2 linked regions of the Sus scrofa genome follow. The protein of the gene in region 2 purifies or fractionates together with the protein of the main gene of each other region. This does not show direct contact. Links are inferred from orthologs where the notes say so. Each region holds a gene or a part of one and is shown on either strand. Other genes may lie near its edges.

The links. The genes of interacting proteins can lie anywhere in the genome.
Region 1: the proteins of CTCF (region 2) and RPL28 purify together in Homo sapiens (affinity purification with mass spectrometry; 3 studies listed by BioGRID and IntAct, with this or other methods). This does not show direct contact. The link is inferred for Sus scrofa from reciprocal best matches to the Homo sapiens genes CTCF and RPL28.

The regions. Positions count from the first base shown.
Region 1 is NC_010448.4:59,554,335-59,560,712, forward strand, and holds RPL28 (60S ribosomal protein L28), read left to right. Parts: upstream 1-2,251; 5' UTR 2,252-2,310; coding exon 2,311-2,386; exon of another isoform or gene 2,387-2,513; intron 2,514-2,647; exon of another isoform or gene 2,648-2,727; coding exon 2,728-2,816; intron 2,817-2,911; coding exon 2,912-3,035; intron 3,036-4,571; coding exon 4,572-4,690; intron 4,691-4,867; coding exon 4,868-4,957; 3' UTR 4,958-5,003; downstream 5,004-6,378. Other genes in the region: TMEM238 (transmembrane protein 238), read right to left, coding at 1-525.
Region 2 is NC_010448.4:28,231,844-28,238,255, forward strand, and holds the start of CTCF (CCCTC-binding factor (zinc finger protein)), read left to right. Parts: upstream 1-2,746; 5' UTR 2,747-2,755; coding exon 2,756-3,536; intron 3,537-3,886; coding exon 3,887-4,057; intron 4,058-6,412.

The DNA.
Region 1 (6,378 bases), about 31 Mb from region 2:
CGCACCCGCTGCCCCAGGCCCGGCCTCGAGCGTGGCGAGCTGCAGGCGCACGCGGCGGGAGCCGGCGGCCGGCGGCGGGGGCGTGCGGGCGGCGCGGCGCGCTCCCCGGGAGCCGGGCGCGGCGCGCCGGCCCGCCGCGGAGGAAGCTGGCGCCGACCAGCGGCGGGAGAGCTTTCGCGCGAGGCGGGCGAGCGCCGAGGGCCGCAGGCCGTAGTCGCGCTCGAGCTCCTGGCGCGAGATCTCGATGTTGCCGGTGTACCAGAGGATCCAGCCGAGCAGGCTCAGGAAGACGAGCAGCGCGCCCGAGTAGATGAGCAGGTCGCCGAAGTCCCGGCCGCGCACCTGCAGCTGCGCGAACACGCCGGTCAGCAGCGCCGCCATGCCCGCCACGTCCAGCGCCACGGCGAGGAGCAGCGCCATCCGGCAGCGGCCCAGGCCGGACGAGGGCACCGGCGCGCCCGCCGGCGGGAACGGTGCGCCCGGCGGGGCCCCCTGCGAGGCGCCTACCGCCGGCGCCGCCGCCATGGCCGTGCTCCGCCGCCGCCGCCGCCGCTGGCTCCGACCGAGAGCTTTCCGCGTTCCGGGCGCGGCCCGGCCCGGGGCGGGGTCAGGGGACCGCGCCAGGTGTGCCCGGCTCCCGCCTGGTCACCTGAGCAGTACAGACTGGCCTGGCCCGGAGGCGATCTAGCTGTGTTTTCTGGGCAGGACCTGGCCTTCAGAAGCCTATGCTGGGAACAGCGGGACGCAAAGATGCGTGCGGCCTCTGTATCCCAAGGAACTCGGAGCAGCGCATGGTCAAAATTCAGGGTGTTCTAGTGGAGGCAACGTAGGGCGCTCTGGGAGCCCGAGCATAGTTTCTGTTCAGTGCCTACCTCCAGGCGCCTCCGCCCCCGGTGCACCAGTGGGAACAGATGGGGTGAAAAAGAAGGATCAGACAAGGCCCTGAACCTCAAGGAACTCTGGGAGGCAGGGAGTCAACAGAGTGCCTTAAGGAAGGAAACGGCTCCGTGGAGCTGAGGCTGCTCTCAGTCACTGCCGGCCTCCTGTGTGGCCCAGAGCGAATGATTAATGATCGCAAAGGCGGATCAGACACTCACAGGAACTCTGCCGCCACCATCGGATCAGAGCTCCGTGATGAAGGCAGGAGGGTAACCCCCAACATTCCCGTTGGCTCAGGTTTCTCCTGGGGTCTTTAGACTCTCAGGATGTATTACTCGCGAAGTCCAGGTGCACAGAGAGATGGACCAGACAAGGTCCCTGCCCTCCCCTCGAGGAGTTGCTGGACATGATCACATCAAAGCGCGCTAATGGGGTGCCAAGGGACTGTCATTCCTTTTGTTCCCTTGGAGTCTCTGTGCTGGTCAGGCCGAAGACACAGAGATATATCAGGCAAGGTTCCTGCTCCTTAAAGATGACCCTGACGACAGAAAACAAACGTCTATAAAGTGTAACAGGTGACATGGGGCAGGCTGGAGGAGGATGGGGGAGGCCGCGGGGCACAGGGAAGAGGCAGGGCAAACAAGTATGGAAACCCTCAAGGAACCAAGAGCTTTCCCAGACAAATCTTTTCCTCCAAACGCAACTCGCCCTTAAGAGGAAATCCACGGTTCCCTGCGGAGACAGTCTGCGAGAAGGTTCCGTCAGGCTTCTCTCTAGACTCAAATAGCTCTGGATTTAATTTTAAGACGGCCCTGGGGAGGGGGAAATAACAGGGGGTTCCTGGAGTTAGCCGAGGGGTTCCGAACGTAGCCGATTGGAGATCGACTGTTTCCGAGCAGATCCGAAGGGGCACGGGCCAATAAGTGGGAAGGCGGCCGCCCCTCCGAAGAGCGTTTCCGGAGAGTTTCGAAAATGTCCGAAACTACTTAACTACCTTCTTCGGGAATAGCCGAGGGCCTACGAAGAAGACTGGAAGCACCCGAAGACTATGGAGCAGAGCTAGGTTTTAATAGTTCAGGCACTCTCACGTTCCTTCATAAAACAAATATTTATTGAGTTGAGCATCCATTCTGTGGCCAGCAATGGGTGGCAATATTGGAAGAGGCCGCTGAGGAAGGGGCCGTGGGGCTTCTAGAGGTGGACACAATCGGAAACCCAGCCGTGGGCTTCCGACAACACAAGAAGGGCTATCCAAACTGTCCCCTTCCGCGTCGAGAACACGCCCTCGGGTCCCTAGCCGAAGAGTTCCGAAAATCCCCGAAGGGTTTTGCGACGGGCTGGCGGAAATAGCCGAGCGTTGCCGAGCTGGTTCGGAGACGGGAGGGGAGAGGCGGGGGACAGTCGACGCGCGTGCCCAGAGAGGAAGCGGAAATGCGTGTGGGTATTAAAAGCGTCGCTCCGCCCCCGGCGTGTCTCTTTCCGTCTCCGGCCGCCGCACGGAGAGGAGGTGAGGTGCGGCCTCTTGTCCGCCCGCGTGGCCGTCTCGCGCCCGCCGCCGTGGGTCTGTGCCCTTGCCTGGCCTCTCTCGCTGCGCCGCTCGCCTCCCTGGCTGCCCCCGAGCCCCGCCGCCCTAGGTCGCTGTGCATTTTCATTTTCTTGTCGCTCGTAGTCTCGGCCGCCTAAGTTCAGCTCCTCTACCTTAGGCCGCCCAGCCCCGCCTGGCAGATTTCTAAGCGCTCTCGGCCCACACGGTTCCCCCATTCCCCAGGTCCCCACACGCGGCCTTCCCCTGTTGTTCACCGTCGGCCTGCTGCTCCCTTGACATTTCCCGGGCCCCTTCCTCCGCAGCTGCCGTTATGTCCGCGCACCTGCAATGGATGGTGGTGCGGAACTGCTCCAGCTTCCTCATCAAGAGGAACAAGCAGACGTACAGCACCGTAAGTGGGGCCCCGACGCCTGGGTCTGAGGGAGGGACCTTTACGACCGCTGGGCCCTGGCCCCTTTCGCGACCGCCATGTGTCCCGCTTCCCAGGAACCCAATAACCTGAAGGCCCGCAACTCCTTCCGCTACAACGGGCTGATTCACCACAAGACCGTGGGCGTGGAGCCGGCGGCGGACGGCAAAGGGGTCGTGGTGGTGATGAAGCGGAGATCCGGTAAGCATCTGCCCTGGCTCGGCCGGGCGACAGACCCCCCCACACGGGCGAGGAGCTATGGTTTCTCAGTGTCGGGCAGCAGCACTAAGGTTTCTTGGGGTCAGGACAGTTGCCTGGGAAGCTGGCTCTTCAAGCTTGCCCTCCCCCTGTATGAGCTGGCCAGGCTGCTTTGCTTGTTTCATCGTTTGAAAAGTCATGAATAGGTCCTCAAGTTGTCCCCTCACCAGGATTTATGTTTCGGGGAGGTATGATTCAGTGTTGTGTTTAGGATAAGTCTTTAAAACAGCTCAGTGAATGTCAGTCTCAAAGGGTGGGAAAATTGGGCAGACAGGTGGGGGCCTTTCTAGCTCCCACGTGTAGGAAGTGACAGCTTGGGTCTGAGGCAGTGGCGTGACCCCCTTTGTGGCTGCAAGGACTCAGAAGGGATGCTTAGCCTCCCACCCCCCTAAACCGCTCTCAGGCGCGGCCAGGCCTTTTTATTTAGACTCGGAGTCAAGAAGAGGCAGGGTATCACAGCTATCTTTTTGTTTTTCGGGGTGGAGGGTTTGAGATAGGAAAAGTTTTTCCTCCGTCTCTTGTGAGGGCCAGTTTCCGTTTGGGTTGAGTCCAGTGTCTTGGTTCAGTGACAGCAGTGACCACACCTGTTGCCTCCATCTCAGAGGGGAAGGGATAGCCCCTTCCCTGCGAAGCAGCCCCACGAGCAGCCAGTTCCTTGTGCTGTTGAGCTTCCCAGCTTCCCACACTCCTGAGAACCCTGTTCTGGTGTGTTGAGCCCCCAAGGCTTTGCTTTCTCTTCTTGAATTGTCGGGTGGCCCTTTCTGGGTAGTCAGAAACTGGCTTGACCTGAGGAGGTAACATAAACCTTCTCTATGGCATGGGTCCTTGGCTTCTTGGGGGAAACCAGGAGCGTGGGACCCCATCAGCCCTGTGACACGGTAAAGGGGGTGTTTTTCTTTTATCCTGGGCAGTGGAGTCCAGGCTCACTTGTGCTCAGGTGAGGGCTTACCCTAGGACTCTTAATTGCCCCTGGTCTTCCCGTGGTCCAGCATCACCCCAGCATCAGAGCCAGGCCTCACAGTGTGGCGTATTAGACATTTGGTGCAGAGGAGTTGTCTTGGGCCCTGGAGGGTGCAGAAGGGAGAGGAGCCAGAGCTGCTTTCTGGGGAGTGCCCACTCCCTGGCTGCCATAGTGCTGCGAATGCCCGCCTCAGCTGGGCTTCTCAGATTCTGATAACTGCTGTGTGCATGTGGACAAGGGAGTCCCCGTTGCTTCTGCTTCTAAATCTGTGCTGTGAGACGAGCAGTGCTGTGTCTGCACAGCTGGGTGGGGAAGACACACCTGTACAGGTGCTGGGCCTCGCCTGCCATCGTCCTATAAATTGATGCCCAGAGATGGGGCACCATGTGCAGGCTCACACAGCCCAGGCACCCACCCAGGTCCTCTGGGTGAGATCGTACCCTCGCACTAGGGGTGGGCACAGAGGACCAGACCACCCGACTGACCCCTGGGGGCTCTCTTCTCCCTTCTCCCACCAGGCCAGCGAAAGCCGGCCACTTCCTACGTGCGGACCACCATCAACAAGAACGCCCGAGCCACTCTCAGCAGCATCCGGCACATGATCCGAAAGAACAAGTACCGCCCGGATTTGCGCATGGTGAGTGGGAGCCCAGTGAGGCCGTGGCAGGTACGGGGGGTGACTCCGTGGGCGCCCAGAGAGCCCAGCCAGTGCTGGGAGGGGCGGCTTTCTGGAGAAGGGGCACCATTATCCTCCTGGAGTGGGGCAGGGTCCCAGCTCGTGGGGTGGGTGCACTGAGCCAGCCTTGCCTCCCAGGCCGCCATCCGCAGAGCCAGCGCCATCCTGCGCAGCCAGAAGCCAGTGATGGTGAAGAGGAAGCGGACCCGCCCCACCAAGAGCGCCTGAGCCCTGCCCTTCCCCAAAGCAATAAAGACAACAGTCTTCTCCTTGCCTTCGGGTGCGTGCAGCTCCTGTGCCCTGCCCCCTGCGTCTCTCACCCAGGCCCCGTCCCCAGGCCTTCTCCCACCCACTGGGACCACACGGGGCCGCACAGTGTTGGGTCTGGAGCATCACATTCTCACAGCCTGCTAATGCGTGACAGAGCTTCAAGAAGGACCTAAAGGGGTTGGTTTTTAACAGCCTCAATCTCCTGAGTGTTCTTCTGTGTTTATAGTTTTGTGGTTGTGTTGGCAGTGTGGCCTGCAAAGGTGGAAGCATTTGCTGTGTGGGAGCCCAGCTGTAGACCACGTGTTTCTCTTGGGGTGGCCTGAATACTCCAGTGGGAGCTGGGGTGGGGAGGGTCTTTTCTGGCATGCCCATGCCAGTGGGCCTCCTACCCACATGGGTTCTGGAGCAGCACAGGAGCCTCTCCAGGGGACTGCAGATGCAGTGAGTGTCCTCGGGCAGGGTGGACAGAGCTGTCAGGGCCCCCATTGTGTTCAGGGCCCAGGGTGCCCAACTCTGCTTGTCTGAGATGGAAGGCAGCACCCGCACTAGTGCGGCTCATAAATCTGGAACCTGTGACTCTGTCTTGGAGAAGGGAGCTTAGGCTGCACCAACCACCCAGGAGGAAGGCGACAGCCCCAGGCTGCCCGCCAGCAGCCATGTTCTTACTAAACAGGCTGTTCTTGGCTAAAAACCCAGCGGGCTGACTGGACCTGCACCTGCTGCTGCACCGGGAGTGCACTTGTGCAGCCTCTCCCCCCAGCTCCCCAACTCTTTGCAGCCTCTCTTGCCACCCTTCCCCCAGGCTGCGTCTTCCTCGCACAGCTCTGCCTTCTCTGACCACCAGATCTCAGGTGGCTCTGGCTTGCTTCCCGGTGGCGGCCTTGGCCATGGCGTGGGCTCACAGACCACGCCATGGGGACCCAGTGCAGAGACCAGCACCATGTCAGCACCGCACAGCTTTGCATCGGGGCAGGGAGCAGCAGTTCTGGCTGACCACACACCCAGGCACACCCAAGCTCCATTCCCCTCCAGCCTTTCCAAGCAATGGGCAGGAACCGGATGACCCGCCAAACCTTCTGCCTCCCCTGGGCCATTTCGCCTCGCCCTGGGGTCTGTTCTCAACCCCAGGAGTGGGATCCTGGTGGAACTCTGTCAGGTGACCTGAAGCCCGCTCGGCATCCCCCAGCCCACTTCCGCCTTGTTTCCTCCGGGACACCTGGCCCCTCGCTGTCCCTCCACTCCCTGCAGTTCTGCCTCCAGCCACCTGCACTTGTTTCTCAGCCTGGGCAATGTGTCCTGTTCCCCCAGTGGGCCTTGAGGTCTCTCCTGACTACTCTAAAGTGGAGACCCTTCCCTGGCCAGCTTTGTTTCTCTCCAGC
Region 2 (6,412 bases):
TCAGAAAGCACATGTGGTTTCCTCTTGACAACCAAATGAGTATCATTTTAATTCTTTTGTCATTCAAGACCATCCAAACTATGGCCACAACCAATACATCTTTGTCCTCTCTTCCTAACCTTTCTCCTATCCTGTGCTTTTGAGCTAAATCTTCTATTCTTTTTCATAACCAATTCTTTCATATATTTATTATTTGTCAGGGGTCCCCTTCCCTTCCACCTTTAAATGCTGCCTTTAAATGTCTTCTCCATTTGATCTCACAGCTGGTTATGTGGGGGTCTCCAAACCTACTACCTTGAGCTGTTGTATCTATTCTGTCTGGCTTTTTTTTTTTTTTTTTTTTTTTTCAAAGGAATGCACCTGCAGCATGTGAAAGTTCCTGGGCTAGGGGTCAAATCAGAGCTGCAGCTGCTGACCTATACCACAGCAACACCAGATCCAAGCCACTTCTGCCAACCTACGCTACAGTCCATGGCAACACCCAATCCTTAACTCACCAGTGGGCTAGGAATAGAACCCTTGTCCTCATGAATACTAGTCAGGAACTGTTATTTTGTCCTTCTTGTTGGACAGTAACTCATAAAACACAAGATCAGGCTTTCCTGGTCCTAGTCTTTATAGTGCTCTTTAGGTGGTCCTGGCATATGGGATCTTCTCTGACTGCTACTAAGGATAGTGTTAAGGTTCCTGAATTGGAGAAATGTGTCTCTAATAGACATAGGAAAAGCTTTGTTTGAGACTAGGGCAAGAATACAAAACAGGTTTGTTTGTTTGTTTTAGGGCCACACCCACTGCATATGGAGGTTAACAGGCTAGGGGTTCAGTCAGAGCTAAGCTGCCAGCCTACACCACAGCCACAGCAACGCAGGATCCAAGGCATGTCTGTGACCTATGTCATAGCTCATGGCAACACCAGATCCTTAACCCACCGAGTGAGGCCAGGGATTGAACCTGTGTCCTCATGGATACTAGTCAGATTCGTTTCTGCTGAGCCACAATGAGACCTCTCCAAACATTTTAGATTTTAACTTGGAATAAATCTTTTTTATACTTTTGGGTTTAGTAGAGTCATATGATTGCTATGAATTAAGTAGTTGCTCAGACTCATTTTACTCTTCAGTGTCTCAGTATTCTCAAGACTTGAGATCCAGAAACTATTTCTATTTCTACTATATATTCGTATAGTGTTTATTGTGTTCTTACCAACCTGGGCACAGTGCTAAAGTATAAAAACTACTTGTTGTACATGATCTCTTTCCTCAAGGAATGCATAGTCTCGTAGAGAAGAGAGATACATGAATGTCAAGTTGATGGTATGAGACAGGAGATGGTGTGTGGTAGCTTTACACAGGGCCATTGCAGTTTGGATCCAAGTTCTGGTTCTGGCTGAGGAAAAAAAAACACTACGATGGCGTGTTTTCTAAGGGAAGATTTAGATAAAAACAGCAAGGCCGTCTGCTAGTGTTTTTATAAATAGATCTAAGAAATGTATAATTAGGAGTTCCCGTCGTGGCGCAGAGGTTAACGAATCCGACTAGGAACCATGAGGTTGCGGGTTCGGTCCCTGCCCTTGCTCAGTGGGTTAACGATCCCGCGTTGCTGTGGCTCTGGCGTAGGCTGGCAGCTACAGCTCCGATTTGACCCCTAGCCTTGGAACCTCCATATGCCGCGGGAGCGGCCCAAGAAATAGCAACAACAACAACAAGAAAAGACAAAAAGACAAAAGACAAAAAAAAAAAAAAAAAAAAAAAAAAAAAAAAAGAAATGTATAATTAAGCTAGTTTTGAAAACAACTCTTTAATATCATTAAATATCCAGGCATGTTGCATCTCATTGTCAGCTGTGTCATCTCAGTGTCATGTTTTTTTTAACTATTTATTGGATTGAATCAGAATCCAAACAAGATCCTTATGTTGTGATTGATTGCTCTATGTCTTGAGCCTCTTTTGTCTATATCAGGGTTTCTCAACCTCTGCACTATTGACATTTGGGGGCCAATAATTCTTTGTTGTGGAGGACTGACCTGTGCATAGGAGGATGTTTAGTAACATCTGTGGCCTCTACCCACTAGATTACTGGATACTGACAGCACACCCAGCCCAGTAGTGACAACCAAAAATGTGTCCAGGCCATGATCAGAGTTCCTGCTGTGGTGCACCGGGATCATTGGCGTCTTGGGAGTGCTGGGACACAGGTTAGATCCCTGGCCTGGCACAGTGGGTTAAGGATCTGGCGTTGTTGCAGCTGCTGTTTAGGTCACAACTGTGATTCAGATCTGATCCCTAGCCTGGGAATGCCATATGCTGTGGGGTGGCCAAAACAGAAAAAAAGAAAGAAGAACCATTGACCAGGAGGTTCTCCCTCTATCCATCGTGATTTTTTTCTTGTGATTTATTTGCAGAAGAAAGTAAGTAGTTAATCCTACAGTTTCTTTCAGTCTGGATTTCATGAATTGTATTCCTGTAGTATAATTTAACATCATTTGTCATCAGTTTCCTGTTAATTGGTAATTGATTCTAGAGACTTGATTATCAGTTTCAGAATTTTTTGTTTTATTTGACAAGACTGTTTTATAAGTGGTCCATTCTTTCATTGGGAAGCACATAATACTGTTTTGTCTTTGTGTAACATTAACCATTGAACCTTATACATGCATCAGGGGGTCTTTGTTTTGTTTCAAAATGTATGTGTTTTCAGTTAGATAAGCTTCATTTTGAATAACTGTCTGTGTTCTCCCTTAATAAAGGAAGGGGAAATGGAAGGTGAGGCGGTTGAAGCCATTGTGGAAGAGTCTGAAACTTTCATTAAAGGAAAGGAGAGAAAGACTTACCAGAGACGCCGGGAAGGGGGCCAGGAAGAGGACACTTGCCATCTACCCCAGAACCAGACTGATGGGGGTGAGGTGGTCCAGGATGTCAATAGTAGTGTACAGATGGTAATGATGGAACAGCTGGATCCTACCCTTCTTCAGATGAAGACTGAAGTAATGGAGGGTGCAGTTGCACCAGAAACGGAGGCTGCTGTGGACGATACCCAGATTATAACCTTGCAGGTTGTAAATATGGAGGAACAGCCTATAAACATAGGAGAGCTGCAGCTTGTGCAAGTACCCGTTCCTGTGACAGTACCTGTTGCTACCACTTCAGTAGAAGAACTTCAGGGGGCTTATGAGAATGAAGTGTCTAAAGAGGGCCTTGCAGAAAGTGAACCCATGATATGTCACACCTTGCCTTTGCCTGAAGGGTTTCAAGTGGTAAAAGTGGGGGCCAATGGAGAGGTGGAGACACTAGAACAAGGGGAACTTCCACCTCAGGAAGATCCTAGTTGGCAGAAAGACCCAGACTATCAGCCACCAGCCAAAAAAACAAAGAAAACCAAAAAGAGCAAATTGCGTTACACAGAGGAGGGCAAAGATGTGGATGTATCTGTCTATGATTTTGAAGAAGAACAACAGGAGGGCCTGCTGTCAGAGGTTAATGCAGAGAAAGTGGTTGGTAACATGAAACCTCCAAAACCAACAAAAATTAAAAAGAAAGGTAAAAATGAGTTTATCCATTATACTCTAAATAAAACCATTTTGGGATAAAGTACATAACACAGTGCATATGCAGGTTATTTTATATTAAATGGATTTATTTTGAAGATTATGATGTGAGTACTAGTCTTTTTATACATTTTGAAAGAAGTTTTTACGGGTTGAATAATTTTTAAGTCCTAAAGAGAATAAGTAAATCTATTAGTGGCATGAGACAGTTATGACTCAGTATGAGTTAGATTGGGTTTAGTTTTTAAAAGCTAATGAAATATATTTGTGGAAATTTAAGATTAGGATTAATCTTAACACTTTGAAACTCTGCAATAAGTAAGTGTTCTATTTTGCATATAGGTGTAAAGAAGACATTCCAGTGTGAGCTTTGCAGTTACACGTGTCCACGGCGTTCAAATTTGGATCGGCACATGAAAAGTCACACTGATGAGAGACCACACAAGTGCCATCTCTGTGGCAGGGCATTCAGAACAGTCACCCTTCTGAGGAATCACCTAAACACACACACAGGTGCTGGATAAGAATGTTTGGGGTTGAGTTCCTGTTGTTGCTCAGTAACAAACACAACTAGTGTCCATGAGGATGCAGGTTCGATCTGTGACCTTGCTCAGTGGGTTAAGGATCCAGTGTTGCTGCAAGTTGCAGCATAGGTCACAGATGAAGCCAGGGTCTGGTGTTCAACCCCTGGCTGGAGACTTCCATATGTCGCAGGTGTGGCCATAAAAAGAAAAAAAAAAGAATGTTAGGGGCTACAGCATAGCAAAAGTTAAAACTTATGTTTTAAATATCGCCTTAGGTGATTCAAGTGGCAGTAAGAGTGGGAAGATTTTTTTGTTCTTTCTTATGGCACCCTCCCTGTAATCATTATTTATTATAGGCAGTTGGGCTTAGTTTCAGGCAAATGTAAATAAAATTTACTGGAAAAATAATCCAAGTTATATAAGGATGGTAATTCAGAAAAAGATTTTCTATGATATAATAGAAAATATGCATGTAATATAATTTCCTGAAGGCATCACCACTGTGTTGCTAAGGTTTTAACAACAGTAACAAAAACTAAGCCCAAAATCCTGAGCAGTAATTGCTGGGCACTACGAGGAAGAGGCACTATGAAGAACATTAGAAGTAAAAATGAGGGAGTTCCCGGAGTTCTTGTGGCACAGCGGAAACGAATCCAACTAGGAACCATGAAATTGCAGGTTCAATCCCTGACCTTGCTCAGTGGGTTAAGGATCTGGTGTTACCGTGAGCTATAGTGTAGGTCACAGATGCAGCTCAGACCTGCGTGGCTGTGTCTGTGGTATAGCTATAGCCGGTAGCTATAGTTCCAATTGGAACAGGCCCCTAGCCTGTTAACCTCCATATGCCACTGCTGTTGCCCTAAAAAGACCCCCCCAAAAAAGGAGATAAAAATGAAATTCTGCCTTTGTAAAAACCATGGTTTCTGGTTGTTTGACCTCAATGAGGATATTTTATAGTCTCAAAAAAATTTAAGACGTCATTCCGGAAATTCAGGCATTCATTCATGGTCCATACATGGTTAATATTCTGACATTAGCTTCATGTTGGTTGTGGTCAGGACCTGGGATCGCCAAAGTGGAGGAACTCTGCACTGAAGCTCTCTTTAGACTTTCTTTTGGGCTCTTTACACCTTTGGTGTTGACATTTGGCTGCAAGTACTAATAGAAACTTCTCTCACCCAGTTCTTGATGCAGAAAGCTTTCCTCTATCCAGAGGCCCCACCTCATTTTATATAACAACTCTAGTTTTTTATCTTATGTGCCAGTTTCTGATGGAACGTGATCACGTAACAGTTGGCCTCTGAGCAGTATGCTGTGCATTAGTGTATTTACTAATATGACTCAGTCGCTTTTCACTAACTCCCTAAACACTTAGTAATATGTTTTAATTGGTAGTTTGAAGGCCCTAGGAAAAGGACATAAGACTAGATAAAAGCAGCTGGCCCCATGATAGTGGGGAGTGCCTTGATGTGGGCACTGCATTTCATGGTCTAGTTCTCAGCTTTGAAAAGAAATTCAGTCTCTCTGGCTATTCCAGGATAATTTGGCAGGACTAATTCATGCCAGCCAAACCTTCAAGGGTCAGATGTATAACAAAAAAATCAGTATATGGTAAGGAATACAACTTTCATTTTCTAGATGCAGTTGTATTGCATTCTAGGGGATATCTTTGCCTTTGTCAAGGTGCTGTGGCAGTTATGAAGGGTAGCTTAGCATGGACCTTGAGCAGAGGGACATAGGCATCTCTGGGAGAATCATTTCTGCAGATTGCTGGTCCCATTCATCACATTGTGACTCTTGCTAATTCCATTCTCAAAGGTAGCCAGCTTTTGATTTTGGTGCTTGGGATTGCCTTGCTGCTCACCCCTTACCTGCAGCCTGCAATTACAGATGGTCCCTAGTTTATAAATAATAACCTACAAAAAAGCACTGTGTTCTACTGTCAACTTTATCTCCTTATTGTCTTTATTATCTGGGCATGGTATTTCCAGTGCAGTAAAAGGCTAGAGACAATCTACCAAAGTACTCTTATGTTATGGGGCTACTTTATGAAGACATATGAAAAGCGTTAAGATTATCTCAGTGAAAGAAAAATACAAAACAAATATAGAGGGTATATTATTCATAAAAACAGTTAAGTATTCCACCACTTGACATTCGGATCACAGACTGTTAGACATGGGTGTTTGAAAGTGATCTGTTTAAATCACATAAAAGGCAATACTACTTTATAAAACCTTTGATAAATCTCTAGAAATCCTTATCAAAACAAATTTATACAGGAAACATATTTGTCTGTTTTTTTAGTGTCTCTCTCTCTCTCTCTCTTTTTTTTTTTTTTTTT